Linked DNA regions of Mus musculus: region 1 is reported to be linked to region 2. Evidence: microRNA targets listed by miRTarBase, many of them from high-throughput screens and not tested one by one. Region 2 holds a microRNA gene; the other region holds the end of a gene's coding sequence.
What was found. The annotated mature microRNA mmu-miR-32-5p reads UAUUGCACAUUACUAAGUUGCA and lies in region 2 at 3,475-3,496, opposite strand. An mRNA with a match to its seed (bases 2 to 7 or 8) in the 3' UTR can be bound and repressed. Matches are read on the target gene's strand: a 7mer-m8 pairs with bases 2 to 8, a 7mer-A1 pairs with bases 2 to 7 and ends in A, and an 8mer does both.

Region 1: miRTarBase lists Cd69 as a target of mmu-miR-32-5p. Seed matches in the 3' UTR shown: 8mer at 1,697-1,704 and 8mer at 1,822-1,829.

What each region holds. Positions count from the first base shown.
Region 1 is chr6:129,260,608-129,269,243 of GRCm38, reverse strand. It overlaps Cd69 (CD69 antigen), which reads left to right. Exons shown (of 5, transcript NM_001033122.4): 5 at 875-1,920. The coding sequence ends at 983. Among named protein-coding and RNA genes, the nearest start is that of Cd69, 10 kb to the left of the region's middle.
Region 2 is chr4:56,891,798-56,900,433 of GRCm38, forward strand. Mir32 (microRNA 32) reads right to left here and starts at 3,501; the gene lies at 3,432-3,501. It overlaps Tmem245 (transmembrane protein 245), which reads right to left. Exons shown (of 18, transcript NM_001369260.1): 13 at 7,509-7,631; 14 at 7,229-7,374. It overlaps Gm25053 (a small nucleolar RNA gene), which reads right to left and starts at 5,960; the gene lies at 5,829-5,960.

The DNA of each region.
Region 1 (8,636 bases), not on the chromosome of region 2:
AAGGGCGGTGAAGTAGTTGCTGGGAAAGAATTCCCTGCTTCAATTCCATTTCCCAGTTTTCATCCCTATAGGGACAAAGGGCAATAGTTTAGTGCCTAATAATAAGTATCTGAATCTATGGAAAATTCACACATACCCCCAGCAATAAAGACACTGTCACTACCTATTACTAAGTCAGACTTCACGTTTTGAGGAACATTCTATAAGTTTAGTGTTGATCTTTACACTATGTAAACTCTGAGTTGAATAAATTTCTCACTCTCTTAACATTTCTATAATGTCTGATACAATTATCAGTATTAAAAATCTATATTTCTGAATTAGTCACAGAGTTACATGCTTTTAGTTTCAGCACCCAAAAGGCAGAGGGAGGTGAATTTCTGCAAACCCAAGACTAACCTAGTCTAATAGTGAAACCCTCTTTCAAAAACAAACAAATTGCATTTCTGGTAAAGGGACTTTTGGCATGTGGCCCAATGGCTAGGCTACCAAGGAATACAAGAAAACCACTGATGGTCTAAATAAAATATCAGTATTTGGTGAAATTACCTATGATCATTCCCTAAGCCCCTAAACTGTGCTTTTTGAAGGATCTATGGGGGAAATATGATAATGAATTTTGCTGGAATGCCCATTAAAATCAGAAAAATAGAGCCTTTAGCTTTGCCTACTTTCTCTACCAATAATCCCCTCCCAGTGTTTTCTGTTGCCTCTACACATTAAACCACGGCTACTTGGCTGGATGTCTTGTGTTTTGTGCTTCCTACTCAGGGAGCAAACAGAAAAGGCAGAGGCCCCTGCAAAGTTGACTGTCGTGTAACTGGCTAGAAATGATGGGCTGGAAATAAATCTGAGTGTCTCTATGGCTTGACAGGTTCAACTTGACGGGGTCTGGGAGGTGCGTGTCCGTGAACCACAAAAATGTTACCGCTGTGGACTGTGAGGCAAACTTCCACTGGGTCTGCAGCAAGCCCTCCAGATGACGAGGATACATAGATGTATAAATGACTGTGCCATAGCACCACAGGAAAGTTGTGTAACTGGATACTGCTCTGCAGTTGAATTTTCCACAAAGACTGCACAAACCAACTTTACATCATCCTGGATCAACTCCAGATAGAACTGTGGGACATGAGGAAGAAGATCCAGGAAGATCCCTTGACCAGGAGCTGAAACTGTCACCAACTGACTGCTAATCACATCAAGGATGAGAGGATGGCTATGAAGCCTCATCAACGCACTTTATTTTTTTTTAAACCTAGAATGAATAGAACTGACTAGCTCTAGAGTTACTATTTATTGCCGAATGACTGCTACAGCCAGTGCCTTTACGCATTTGCACTATTTGGAGGGGTTTCAGTGGTAGGAAGAGCTGAATGTAGGTACAGGAAGATTTGACTGATTAATGATTTTCTTAAATTCAAAAAGCATTCACAAATAGAACAATGCTTATGAAACCAAGCTTTGCAGTAACTCCATCTATTTACAGAAACTTTGCCTCATTATTTTGTCAATTGTTCTCCCCCAAAGAATAAGAGTGGCCTTTTCTTTAACTTCCTCCGTGTAGACAGCTAATTTTCAATGGTACATATTTCTTAACCTTTAAAAACCTCTGTAGCGTATTTCAAGGAAGAAAACAAAAGCACAGCATATGAGTAATATTTGTAGAGCAGATTTCAAAGTGCTGGAAAGAAAAGTGCAATACGTGTAGTGGCAGATCTCTGTCAGGACACACCCTGTGGTTTGACCTTGGAATAACTCCAGTCTTGTCACATAACCTGTTTGTGTCTTTCCCAGTCCTTTGTCCAAAATATTTCCCATGTGCAATAAAGTGTTTATATATTTGTTTGTGTTTTAAAACCCACTATAAAGTTTAAGCTGTTTCTATGTATGTGAAAATAAAAGAATAGATAAATGGTTTCCAGCGGTTCTCATTCAAACTGCATTCAAAGTACCGTGTTATAGCATCAAACTGCCTTCCAGGAAGGGGGGTCTCAAAACCTTTAGATTAGTGAAGTTCACAAACCTCACCAGAGAAGAGTCTTTGTGCAGTGGCCAGTGGTCAATGCAAGGTCTCCAAACTAGTCAGAGCATGGAGAATTGGAGGCTGTGAAGTGCACAGCCACAAAATAAGAACTCTCCCCAAAAAGGTGCAGGAAATATCATGGAAGCCAGGGCAGCAAAACTGTAAGATCCAGAGGTCAGGGAGGACTGGGTAAGAAACATCTTCTGGGCTTGAGAGAACCATTGCACTCATGAATTTATAGCCACAAGACCTGCACAGAATCAAGCCAGGCAACATCCCCACAGGATGGAAGAAGAGCAAGGGCATCCTCACTCCTACCTGAGAAGCTATTGACAGTCAATAGCTACTAGGAGAGAAGCAGACAGTTCTTATTCCCAAGTATGTCCCCAGTAATTGACTGTGCTCCAGTGAATGACCCCATATCCATGCATTATGAACAGCATTAATTGGTGAATTAATTGTGAATTAGCAGCATTAATTGGACTCAATGGGATTTATAAAAAGAAAAGGACATGAAGTTTGGAGGAGTTGGAGGACAAGGTGGTGGTGAATATGATTGGAACACTTTGCATACATGTATGAAATTCTCAAAGAATAGCAGCAAGTTATACCATATTGGAAAACAGAGAACAGTAGAACGCCTACTAAAAGTCTTCCACAATGCAAAACCCTAGTCTTATTAACACACATTCATGCCAAAAGGATACACTCATTTTTGCATATATCAGATGCTCTGAATCTCAACATATCCAAGGTTCTGAAAACATTTTGTTCAACTCTGTTCTGAAAACATCTTTCTCACTATATACTTTATTCACACACACTAATTCATGTAGTATATGTGGGTCATGGATGCCTTCAAGGGCTACTCCATCAGGGAAAATCTTTGATCACTCCCAGAATGAATGCTGCAATAACATCCTTTTGTGATGCCTGAATACAAGTGTTTTATATATATATAGTGCTCACCCTTATGATATATAGAAAAGAAACATGGATTTAGAGTTTCTTCTTAATGAAAAATAACATGAAGTTTACTGGCCACTGAGAGTCTCAGTTCCATAGCTACAGAATGAAGCAGGTGGCCTCCTCACTTAAATATTCTATCATTAATAACCACAGCCCCGTCCTGACTCATGTTGAAAAACAGACTTGTGATCTGCATGGTGTGGATGTGTAAGTGGAAACACTGCTGTTGAGAGCCACAGGATGAGAGACAGCTGACCCGAGTCTTACTTCTGCCATCCAGTGGATCATGAGTTAACCTTTAGATTTAATTAGAGATTGAGTTGAAACTAATAAGAAACGTATGCAAAATGACCTTAAAACACCACCAAAAGCTCAGAGTAGTCATGTGATATATCAGCTATTGATAATTTTACATGTGAAACACTATGTCCACAAATTTTTTGTATTGTATAAAGTATTACTTATTCAAAGCATGCCTACTTCTACATAGCATACATAGGTTACATGTAGTAGCATACATTTAGTAGTAGAATTAAAATATCCAGCCACTACCTGATACAAGTGTGTAGAGTTTATATCCACATGTGAAACAGGCAATAAAATAAATTGTTATGTAATGGATGTGACAGAAAATATGTATGTTGCTATCAAAACCCTTTTGAAGTACAGAACTCTTTTTTTCTTTCTTTTTTTTTTAACTATGGTCAAACTTTTGGATAATTTCACAATAAATCTTATAAGCTACACTCACCTTAAGTGACTGCAATAATATAAGCTGAGGAAAACTATCAGTGTTTTGTGTCTTATTTCAATTTTTTCCAGAATAATTTTATTTTCTTCCTTCTCAGCCATAGGAATAAATGGTAGACATGAACTGTCCTTGAAAGGAAAGGTACCACTGAAATGTTAGTATTTAAAGCTTTGTCAATATTGAATCTGTGAAGTTCCCCCATGGCTCATAGCACTTGCTAAGCAACTCTAACCACCAGAGTTCAGTCCCCAGAGCCCAAGGTAGAAGGAGAGAACTGACTTCCAAAAGTTGTCCTCTGACCTCCACACATGAAAAATAAATATTTTGCAACATTAGTATATTAATGTTCTTTTATAAACTGATCCTCCCATTTCATCACTCCAGCTTGAGTATATAACTGAAATGAAAATGAACATGAATCTCTAGGGGTCTTGTGTTGAAAAGGTACAGCTAAAAAGACAGCTGGAGGCAGTGTGATTTAGCTCAGCTTAACTTCTAGAAGCAATTTACCAAAAATATGGAATAGTAAATACATTTTTCTGTGATATGACTACTTTGGAGAAAGAGAAAATTAAAACAAATAATCTTTGATGTGCAAGGTCAATTTCTAGCAGTAAAATTCAGGAAGCACTTAATTCTCCAAATGCAATATAATGTGATTCTGCTACTCAACATTAAGAGATGATAATGAGGGCTAGCAAGATGGCTCCATGCCCCACAGCAAGTGTGTGTGAGCACACATATATCATATACAACATAATAAATAAATTATAATTACCTTAAGTGTAAATACCTTAATCACCTTTTCCAAACACAAAGACAAAACCTTTTCCCCAAATCAGCATATTCTTCATCCGGTAACCAGGAAAACCTGTAGCTTGCTCTCTGTCCCAGAGGAACAATAAAACCACCACAATACTCAAAATCACACACATTTTAGCCTATTTAGGCCTTTCTAATTTGTCATGTCAGGATTTAAACCCAAAATTCCCTTGGAGCCCACATTAGACAGAATATGAGTCTCCTGCAGACTTTATTATACCATCTTTAAAACAATTAATTCACACTTCTATTTTCCTTTCCTTTTCCTCTCCTCTCCTCTCCTCTCCTCTCCTCTCCTCTCCTCTCCTCTCCTCTCCTCTCCTCTCCTCTCCTCTCCTCTCCTCTCCTCTCCTCTCCTCTCCCCTCCCCTCCCCTCCCCTCCCCTCCCCTCCCCTCCCCTCCCCTCTCCTCTCCTCTCCTCTCCTCTCCTCTCCTTTCTATATCTGCTTATAAGAAACAGCTTGTCAAACCAGGATTTAAACCCAAAATTCCCATGGAGTCCACGTTAGATACAATATGAGTATCCTGTAAGATTTATTAGAGTGCTCTCAAACTTGAGCCACAGACATTTATTTAATTAATCTCCATTATAATATCTATCTGTTATGCTCTCTACCTGGAGCCACAGACTTCTATTAAATAATACCTGCTCATAGCAGGTGATTATCACTGCTCTCTCTACTTGGAGTCAGTGACTAATATTCCCTATCTAATTCCGGACATGAAATTTCTCATAACTAATAAGCTCTCTGCCTAGAGCAGCCATCCTGTCTGTTGTGCTCTCTACCAGAAGCTGCAGACATTTATTTAATTAATACCTATTATAATATCTATCTGTTATGCTCTTTACCTAGAGCCACAGACTTCTATTAATTTTGTTGTGGTAAATCTCCAACCCAAATAGGCCCGAGCAATGAAAACACAACACAGTTAAAATGAATATATGCCGTGCACCTAGATTGGGCAGATCTACTGCTACACTACCATCTTCCACATCTATGAGACCCCTTAGAACTTGTGGTTTCTCCAGGCCATGTGCTTCTGCTCTGCTTTTCTTCTTCCTCCTCCTCTTCTGTGTCCTCTTCCTTTTCCAATATTATCTTCTCTCTCTCACTTTCTGTTCCACCTTCCCTTTTATCTGACCAATCATTAGCTCTCCTTTATTTTACAAATTAAGGTGGGAAGCAGGTTTACAGGAAATTACCTGAGTGCTTACCCCCCAGTCCCAAACCTAGGGAACTTTAATGAAGAAAATGTGTATATATGAAATGTTGGGGACCTTCCTGGCAATACAGTTTCCTGGGGAAGGTAGCAATGGGGGTGTTGCCCTTTGAAGTGGCAAAACTTGCAATTACAAAGGCAAAAATAGCTTACTTTTTGGTAATTTTTTTTCTATCATTAACTCTTTGCTAGCTTAAGACCAAAAATTGCCAGCTTCTAGTGATTAACACTGTTTAATTAACAATGTTTAGCAGTGGAGAATTAAGTAAAGGATCTCTTGCTAGGGCTCCTTTCCCTGGTCAGCCAGCCAGGAGTCTCTTGCTGGCCAGACAAGAAGCTCTGAGCTTGTTAACTCTTTGTGGACTACTTAGACAAGAGAAGAAAATAAAATCTTTTACACAGGCAATATGCATAGGTATACACACATTCATATACACATACACACAGACTCACACACACACACAAGCTGGACCCCACCATTTGTCTCATCAACTCCACAAGTGTTCCTGTACCAGTGGCCTCCAATGGCACCAGTTCTTTGAAAAAGGCAGCCAAGGGATATGGAGTCAGTGGAGAGACCGAAGTTTATTTATCTTTGGCAATCCTTCTGTCAATAATTCTTTGCTATTTTAAGGCCAAAAGCCATTGGTTTCTGGTAATAAACACTTTCTGTTAGCATCATAAGATTAGGGGGAAAAAAAGAGAGAGAAAGCTTAATTGTTAGGGTTCCCTTCTATCTCACTCAAAGGAGCCCTTGCTCGCCGGGTGAGAGGCTTGCTAACTCTTTTTGAGCCAGAGAGAGAAGAAAGGAAAGGAAAAGAGTCACTCACACACACACACACACACACACATACTGAGTGAAACAGAAAACAGTTACACCACCTTTCTTTTATTGCTTTCAGCTTCTTATAGCTTTTAGACAAAAAGTAATCTATGTAAGAAAGAATTACCTCATATATAAAATATTAAAAATAAAGGAAAATAATTAAAATCCTTTACACATTTAAATATGCATAGACATACACACATTTACACACACATGTATTTTGGTTAGGCATGGTCATCTGTCTCAATCAACTCCACTAGTATTCACGCATGCTTGCATATTCCTACACATGTATATGTGTACACACACACACACACACACACACACACACACACACATACACACACACACACACACACACCACACACACCACAACTGGATGAATGGACAGATGGATGGGGCAGAGCCTCCCAAGCCAACAACCTTATTTCATACCTTCTTAGACAAAAGTTCTTCAGAAAATTACCTCATATATAAGATGTTACATAAAATGGGAGCTATAGACGGATGTTGATAAGTTCAAAGCAGTACTTCATTTGCAACAGTGTACTTTGCCTTACAGAAACTTTGCAGTTTCCTGAAGTTCCACTTATCAGTTGCTGATCTTGGAACCTGAGCTGTTGGTGTTCTGGAGATGGGAACAACCTAAATGACCTTCAATTGAAGAATAGATAAAGAAAAGGTGGTACATCTACACAATGGACTACTACTATTCAGCTAAGGAAAAAAAAAAAAAAAAGACATCATGAATTTTGCAGGCAAATGGATGGAACTTGAGAATCTTATCCTGAGTGAGGTAACCAGGTCCCAAAAGCACATGCATGGTATGTATCTACTTATAAGTGGATATTAGCCATGAAGTGCAGAGTACTCATGCTACATTCCACAGACTTAAGGAGGCTGGACAGGAAGGAAGGCACAAATGAGGATGCTTAAGTCTCACTTGGAAGGGGGAGTGGAATAGTCATGGAAGGCATATGGAGAGAGGGAACTGGGTGGGAGAGGGGATCAGGAGGGAAGTGGAGAAGTCTAGGGTCAGGGCAAGAGGATGGCTGGATGGCCATGAGAATGAATGGTAATTTGCAACTGATGGGGGGTGGACTAGGTAGGGGGCATTTCCAGGAAGAGACAGAGACTTGTAATAGGGGAGGCACCCAAGAATCAGTGGTGGTGTCCTTAGCTGTGATTCATAGCATTAGGAATATGGAGCCTAGGGAGGCTGCCTCTTGTGGCTAGGCAGGAACCATGGGGGAGCAATAGGGACACCAACCCACCCACAAACTTTTGACCCAACACTTTTCCTATCTACAGGAAATGCAGGAATTGGTGATAGAGCCGAGACTGAGAACAGCCAACCAATAACTGTCCAACTAGAGATCTATCCCACGGGCAATAACCAATCCCTGACACTATTAATGATACTCTGTTGTAATGCAAACAGGAGTCTAGCATGGCTGTCCTCTGAGAGGCTCCACCCAGCAGCTGACTCAGACAGATAGAGATAATATCCACCGCCAGAGGGTAGAGCTTGGGGACTTTTATAGAAGAATAGGAAGAAGGATTGCAGTCTTTGAGGGGATAGTAGTGCCACAGGAAGACAAACAGAGTCAACTAACCTGAACCCTTGGGACTCTCAGAGACTCAACCATCAACCAAAGAATATGCATGGGTTGGACCTAGGCCCCTCGTACATATGTAGCAGAAGTGCAGCTTGGTCTTCAAGTGGGTCCCGAACAAAAGTGAATAAGTAATAGTAATAAATTTAAAATCGATCAAGTTAAACCTCCCAAAAAAACTTTTTTCCTAAAATTACTTGAATCAAATCTTGAATTCTGTAAAACCATTAACTCATCTAAACACCATTAATTCATGAATGTTCATCTTTATATTGGTCTGCAGGAAATTTTCTCAATAAGGTGGGATAATGACCAGGAATTGTTAAGCTGTGTAATGGTGACAGGAAAGGCATATCAGCTTCAAGAAGCAATCCTGACACCTTACCTCTCAGAGCTCACGCATTG
Region 2 (8,636 bases):
CACAGAAACACAGAGGCCAGGGCTATGTAGGGGCAGACAGTCACAAGAAGGTGAAGCTGTCACTGAAAAAGAGGACCATGGCAGCAAAGTGACACAGTACATGAAGCACACACGGGCTTTCTGCAAAGATTCCCAGGAGGGAAGCTCCTAGAGCACAAGTGAGATCTGTGGTCCAGTGACGGTCATGCAACAGTACTCTGGCACATGCTATCAATGAATACTTCTCCATCTGCAAAACCTTTGCCAACTTTACCAACGGTGTCACTCAAGAATGCGTCATGTGACTCGCTCAACATGGACCCAGATTTAAATACATCAAAAAGACAGAAAGGAGAGGAGATAGCCAATAGGAAACAAAGGAATTGAAAAGTCTAAGGAAAAGAAATGATAGGGAAACATAGATAAGCAGAGAGAGAGAATGGCTGGCCTGGAAAAGACAAGAGGCGAGGCTTAGTAGGCTTAAGGGGCAGTAGTCCAATTAGAGGAGGGGACAGGATACCCTCCAAGGGCAAGCATGGAAAGGAAGGGGAAGGTGACTGTTCTCGGAGACCTGAGGACACCGCCACATCAGCCAAGGAGAGGCCATGGAATCCCTTCTACATTAGAGAAAATCAGAGTGCAGCCTCCTCAGAGACCACTGGAAAGGGAAGCTGGGGAGGGAGGAAGAGTAACCACATGAACTACTAGGGTGAGGAATTTGTCTAGTGTGGAAAGGTGGCTTTCGTTAGCCTCACCTCATTTACAAGTTTTTCATAGTAAAAGTAAGTTGGCACTAAGGACACAATAAAGTAACTCAACTGAGGCTCCCCAAAGATGACTCAAACATCAGCTCACCCCAAAACAGACCACTTATGGGATGAGCACAGCCTTTCTTTCTACCCTGAGCTGGGGTTATCTTTCCTCTGCACCCTTTCCCCTGATAATCCTAAGAATATCTGTAGTGAGTGGCACTAAAAGAGTGTGTGCTTCAAGCCTCACTCACACAACCATGTTTCTAAACTGAAGAAGAAACAAGACAACTTCAATCCCTCAACCTGCTCTGGATGAAGTGAAACCAGAAGCAAGTTACAGAGTGAGCAGGACAGTCACGGCTCAGACAGGCTTGGGGGACAAAGTACCACAAGCCAGACAAGGAGGAAGTACGCGTCTCAGGAAGAAAGGAAACAGAAAATGAGTCGAGTCCAAAACCCCACCTACCTCACATTTCTGTACATTACTTCCACCCTTCCTCTCTAAAGACCTCTCTAAAGATAGGCTGAGCACCAGACTATCCTCTCCCCAGAAAACAATGGCACCATCAACGAAGAGGGCCCCTGAGCAGCAACAGACAGTGTCTACCATGCTGACTAGGGACGGTGCCAGCTCCCTTGATCACAGGTATACCACTGTCCCTTCAAATTCATATACTGTGCAGAAATTCTAGTTTCAACAAATTGAAGTTTGAGTCAACCCAGAATGTAGGCAGTCTACCAGACTCCTTTTTCCAACAACTTAGCTGATCATTAATGTATTTTTAGCAAAATATTTTAATTTGTGTATATATAGTTATATTAAAGAGGCAATGCTATTGCACACTTCATAAACTACAGGTTAAACATACACTTTAGAGGTAGGAGGGAAATCCAAAGCACCCTATGTCAGATTTATTGCAGTATCAATAGGCCAACAGTCTGGAAGCACATGCCCAGTATCTTCTAGTTATCGCTTGGATACCTAACCTCCCTTCCATCACAGATCCTTCACCCTCCCCCCTCTCCCGCTTCACCTTACTCAATGAAAAGCTACATATAAGACAACGTTTTTAAAGGCTATTTTCCTTTAAACGTAATAAAAACAAACATTCAAGTATATTACACTAACCTCTAACCACTCAGCTAAAAGGCATTATTACTCCAGTTAATTTCCCAAAGTATGCATAAGAAATTCTATTACAATGCTAGGATTCTCAAATATTCCACTTTTTTGGGGCGTGGGGGGGTGTCTTGATAGATAGCTCAAACTAACCTTAAACTCTCTACGTAGTTCAAACTGGCCTAGAACTTACAGCAATCCTCCTGCCTCAGGCTCTCAAATGCTAGGATTATAGGCATGTGCCACTACAAGCAGCTCAAAAACACCTTTTTTTTTTTGTTTGTTTAAATAACTTTATGCTGGGTGGTAGTGGCGGCACATGTCTTTAATCCCAACACGGGAAACAGAGACAGGTGAGTCTCTGAGTTCAAGGTCAGCCTAGTATAGGCATGTTTTTGTGTAATATGTAAAGATTATCCTTGTATCTTAGGGTTTCCATTGCTGTGAAGAGACACCATGACCAATGCAACTCTTATAAAGAAAAATATTTAATTGGGGCTGGCTTACAGGTTCAGACCATTATCATCATGGTGGGAAGCATGGCAGTGACCAAGCACGCAAGGCGCTGGAGGAGTTCTACATCTTATTCCAAAGGCAAACAGGAGACCATTGTCTCCCACATGGCTAGGAGGGTCTCAAAGCCCACTTCCACAGTGGGCACTCCCTTCAACAAGGCCATACCTACTCCAGCAAGACCACACCTCCTAATAGAGGCACTCCCTGAGCCAAGCATATGCAAACTATTCTCTTCCTTGTAAGTAAATGCTGATCACCCAATGGCTGGGCATAAGACAGAATAGGGTGGGGTTTCTGCTAGTCAAGGGGGGAGGGGGGGAAGGAAAGACACACACACAACACACATACACGGGGTAGGGGGTATTCAGAGAAGGAAGAAAGTTCTTGAGAGTTCAACAGAAACATGAGAAGCATAATTTCAAGTATTATTGTGATTCTTGGCTGGCGGTAGCCAGATTAGCTTAGGGGAGGAGATTAAGACAGACTGCCTAGATATTGAGGTGAAGTTTAAAAATAATTCTTGGTGTCTCTGTGTTATTATTGGGAACTAACTAGGATAAAGAAACTCAGCCGCTGTATTAATTTACCACTTAAGTTTATATTAAAAACAGCACTTACAGCCTTTTCTACAGAGGGAGTTCAAGGACAATGATAGCCAGGGCTACACAGAGAAGCCATCTCTCAACCGAACTGGGGGGGGGGGGGGGGGGAGGGAGGGAGGGAGAGACAGACAGAGATCTTTATATTTGTTACTGCACATTTTACTTTAAACAAGTATTACTTACATCTTTAAATCTCTAAGAATTTTGTTCAGTCAACAATACACTCAAATTAGAAAATGAAAACATTAATTTACTTAAGAAGCAACCCTAACTTTTTAAAAATAACTAAAACATTTTTATTTTCTTCAGAACTGGGTGAAGAAGTAGAACATGGCCATTCTCGGAATCAAACCTTACAAAGCATTCATCCTCACATGAAACTCAGCACCAGTTCAGCCCTCCAGCATGGAAAAGCTCTAATCCCAGCAAGCAAGACCCAGACCCGTGTGCATGCACTCATGTGAAAATATCACACACACTAAATTGCATTGAGGCCGTGACAACATGCAACTTAGTAATGTGCAATATCTCCACCAGAGCAAGCAGAGGGAACCTCGGGGAGAAGGGTGTGACGTGTGCATTCAGGAGACAGCATGCTCTAAGGGAAGCCAATGCTGGGGATCCAGGATGCATGCCACTACCTCAAAATCCTGAGATGAAATGAAAACTCAGTGACAAATGCACTCCGTTTAGAATAACAGGAACTTAAAATTAAAATAAGGTTCAAAATTTCAAAGTCACACACGGTAATCACAAAGGAAATCCACAGCTTAGAGGCAATCTTTAGGACACACACTTCTGTATGCCATGCAACTAACTCTCAATCTCACTCATGCCTAACTAAAGTATTATATGAAATCAACTTCATGATTTTTCATTTGACCATATACTGATGACATATTTATAAAACTGCTGTCACTGAGCACTTACAGAGAATCAACTACAATCTTTGTAATTGTTTGTTGATTAATCTTCATCCACAAAGAATCATATTTCTACTTGAACATAATCCTCCAGTATGAAAATTCTTTTTTTTCTTTCTTTCTTTTTTTTTTTTTTTTTTGAGACAGGGTTTCTCTATGTAGCCCTGGCTGTCCTGGAACTCACTCTGTAGACCAGGCTGGCCTCGAACTTAGAAATCCACCTGCCTCTGCCTCCCAAGTGCTGGGATGAAAGGCGTGCGCCATCACCACCCGGCTGAAAATTCTTTTTAAGCTTAATTTTTTTCATTTTTTATTTTTTCTTTGTGAATTTCACATCATGCACTCCAATCCCACTCATCTCCCCCCAACACCCCCAAACCCTCCCCTCCACCCTTGCAACTGCCCCTACAACAGAGTTGCTGTGGAAGCTGTAGTGTGTCCCAGTGTGTCCCACAGGACATCCTTTTGTCCACACTTCTTTGTCTGCACATGTTCATTACAATGACTTGTTGGTCTGGTACAAGTCCTCTGGCTTCTACTACTCAATCAATACTGGAACCTCACTGGGCCTCCTCTCATATACCCTGTGGTTGCCCTGTGTCATGGAGATAGGCTTTGGATCTGTAGTGCCCCTTTGTACACTCTAGCAGTTCACTGATGGGGTAGATGTTGGAGTGGGCCAATTCAAAGCCCTGGATCTGGGCCTGAGAGGTATCTGACCTGGTCAGCCCACCGGCTCTCATGCTCTGCAGCCCCACACCAGGCCCAGCTCTATCCTGCTGCCCAGGTGAGGTGCAGGGTCTGCTCTTCCAAGCGTTGCATCCAGTGAGGGGCATGGCCAGTTCTCTCACTCTCAGAATCCCAGGGCCAGCTCTCCCGTCTGCCAAAAATGAGGGAGGGGAAGTAAGGTATCTCTCCCTCCTCAACACCACCATCCAACAGGCAAGAGGCAGGGCTGGCTCTCACGCTCTCACACCCATAACCTCAGCTACCCTGGTCAGCTCTGCTGTGCCCAAGTGAGGTGCAGAGGCTGCTCTTCTGAGTGCTGCTGCTGGTGAAGGACAGGGCCAGCTCTTCTGCTCTATGACCCCAGGTCCAGGACAGGGGAGAAGGGACTCTTTCCCTCATCTAAGCAACCACAGGGAGATGAGTGGTAGGGCCAGCTGTCCCATGCTCAGGCCCAACTCACCTGCTGCTTTCCTGAGTACGGCAGCTGGCTAGGTTCAGGGATCCTACATTCATACCTCTAGAGCTAACTCTCCCACACGCCCAGGTGAAGACAGGGCCGAGCATAGCCCTCGGAGATCAACAAGGCCACAGTTGGCAGCCCAGACCAGGGATGTCTGCCTTGCTTTTGGTGGCAACATCCGTCCCAGATGTGGCCTCCAGTAGCAGCACAGGCTAGGACCCAACCATGGTCTCAGGTGGCATCACTGGCTATTCACATGAGGCTGCTCCTCATTACCCGTAATTGTCCAGTTCTGCCTCTCTTCATTGTGACCACATCCTTATTTCTCTTTGTCTTCTATTTCTCAACCACTCACTTGCTCCTCTTAGTGGCGCCTGGGTTCTCCGAGTGTCTGGGGTCGTCTCAGGAGTGGTCTCAGAAGTGCTAGGTCCCGCTCGTGCATTATGGCACCAGGCAGGGCTCATCTCAAGCATGGTCTATACCCCCAGGCCAGCGTGGCACAAGACTGGAGTTCATCTCATCTGAGACTCACTCCTCTTCCGGCCTACCCAAGTGGCGGTCTGTCTTGGGCTCACTCATGCCTGGGGCCTCTGGTCCCAGGCAGAGCTCTTCTAGTCTCCAGCTTGCTTGTCCTGGGAGCCCTTCCAGATCTGCCTGGTACAGGAATAGCAGTTGTCTCAGGTTAGCTCCCTGTCTGGGCCCTCTGGCACCAGACTGGTGGATATCTCAGGCTCACTTTTTTCAGGGAATGTTAGGCTACTAATCATTCAGATGTTCACAGGTCAGAACACTGAGCGTAGACATAGCCTCTCTCCTCTCTGCCACCTACTGACACACATGTGACACAGCAGCCACACCTGCAACGCCTGTAGGGGCAGAGGATGAAAATTCCTACTTAACTTTTAGACACAGTGCACTGACGCTTTTCTCCTGAAGACTCCTCAAAGGAGCCCATGCAAAACTCAAACATATTAAGTATTTATTACAACTTTGTAAAGGAACAGCACACAGGGCTGCAGAATGCAAAAGCCAGTCACAGTGGAAGATGGCCATCCAAACCCACCCATCAGCTTTCAGATCCAACAGGACGACAGTGCCAATGTTAAGTGACAAGGCCTAGCATGGTAGTGTGCATTCGTAATCCTAGTAACCCTAGCGTTCAGGAAACAGAGAGAGACAGGAGATATCCAGTTCAAAGCCAGCCTGGGTGGCAAAGGAAGAGTCAGGAGAGAGAGAGAGAGAGACAGAGAGAGAGACAGAGAGAGAGAGAGAGGGGGGGGGGGAGAGAAGGGGAGGGGAGGGGAGGGGATCCTGGGCTGGGGAGGGTGCAGAAGTATCTTGCATAAAAGCACCTTGATGTCAGTCAGAAAGCTGCTCCCTGTAGAAAGCGCAGTAGGGACACAGCAGAAGGTGAAGCTTCTATGAGAAGGGCAACAGTGCAAAGCTAGAGCAGAGCTGGCCTTTAAAGGATCTTCCTGGGCAATGCACCTGTCCTCCCGGACAGCTCTGCCTCAGCCAGACTGAAGACTGACCAAGATGGCTGCCAGCCTCTCAAAGGCTATTTTTATGCTACTGGGAAGAGAGGGGTTTTGTCTGTTTTGTTCCCTTTTCCTTTTAGGGTAACAATGATTACAAAAGACTTTTTAAAAAGCAGATAAACAAAAGATAACCTATTGTTGCAATTTTCATCATTAATAAAGACCTTCCCCAGGCTTCCTGAGTAGGAATGGGGAGAAAAGCTGAGGGCATTTCACACAGACACAGACAACTGTTGGGTCAGTTGAACATAACAAGAGAGACAAAACAGGAGGGTCCTGAAGTCAGAGAAGGGCCCCAGGAGGTAAAGACAATGTGGGAGGAGGAGGCGTTCTCCTGAGCAAATGCCAAGGTTATGGAAACCGGACTAAAGCCGATCTGTGAACACATATCAGGTCTTTGTAAATCACAGCAGCAGAATAGAGTGACAAACTCCTGGGAACTTTCCCTCAAAGCATGTGCTCTGCTCCTAGGACCTTCTTAAAGTAAGATAAAGGTCTTGAAAGCACTGGCATCCTTCACTACTTCCACACTGAATGTTTCTATGAATACAAGGAAGGTAACCGGGATGCCACGGGACGCTAGTAAGAACAGCATGCTCTTGTCCCTACCTGATCGCCTCTTCCACAGACTGGCCGATGATGTTAGAGGAAGGGCCTGGCTGAGAAAGTGGTGTCAGGCTGATCACCCACTTCACTGGCTTGTAGTACTCATCACTGGAACTTAACAGATAAAACAGTGTGGTCAGGAAAATTATCTGCAAAACAAAGGACAGGATCTCCTAAAAATCACATTTATGAGCGTATAAAAGCTATACATGCGCAAAAACAGAGCCCAGGAAATGCTGTAATCCATAAGGGAATACAATGGGTGCTGTCTAAATGTACCTACCAGAGACAGCACGAAGTTGAGAAGGGCAGTGCCACTGTAGAAGAGGATGGTCAGCAGGGTGGTGACTGTGGTGAACAGCAGGCTCACGTTCCGGCTCATAACAATCCACAGAGACTCCAGGATCTGACGGAGAGGGACAGCTGGGGTCAACACAAATCCTCATAAAGGGGACAGCCGTAGCCACACAGTGTGCTTTTAGGGCACTGTCTTACTAGCCATAGTGGAAAACGTAAAAACTGCTGCCTGCTTTATAAGCAGAAAAAAATCCCAAAACATCTAGTTCAATAGTAAAGAAAATGGCTAAGTAGTTATAATGAATCCACTCCAAATAACACTTAAAATAGTACCGCAACTATCATAGACATTTCACTCTATTATGCTGGTTTTATTTGGTTAGTTTGGTTTCTCAAAACTGAGTTTCTCTGTGGAGCAGCCCTGGCTACCCTGGAACTCCCTTTATAGACCTGGCTGGCCTCGAACTTACAGAGATTTATTTGCCTCTGCCTCCCACATGCTGGGATTAAAGGTATGCACAACCATGGCCAGCTTCTATTATGCTCTCTTTAAAACACAGGATTTTTATATATTCTATGAATTTTAACTATAAAAACAGAATATATGTATGTCTACAGAAGAATACGTGATCTCTCTGTGGATCTATTTACTTTGGAGGGCTGTAAGTGTAGGTCACGCATTAGATTAGCTAACTACCCTCTATCCTTTCCATCTCTAACTCTGATTCAACTATAAATATAATGTATTATTCCAAAGTCTTGAAATCAACAATGAAAATAATGAAGAGGCAAGGATCAATGACAGAGCCTTTCCTGGGACAGACTAAGCTCACTATCACCTATAAATTGAAGAGAAGCAGTTATCAAGTTGGTTGTGTACACTGTTGGTAAAACATGAGCAAAGAGAGATGTCAATGTCTTCTCAGGTCTCCGTTTCATTTCTTGTGCCTTCATCAACTAAAACCCCTTATAATGTCTGTTCTTCCCAAGTGGGTCCCTCCTCCTAACGAAACAGGAACCAAAAGGGTCAGGAGGACGAGTTCTGCCAGCTACTGAATGTTCCCAGGACAGTGCTGTGAGGGAAGCAATGTGGATAGCTTTATAGACACGAGCT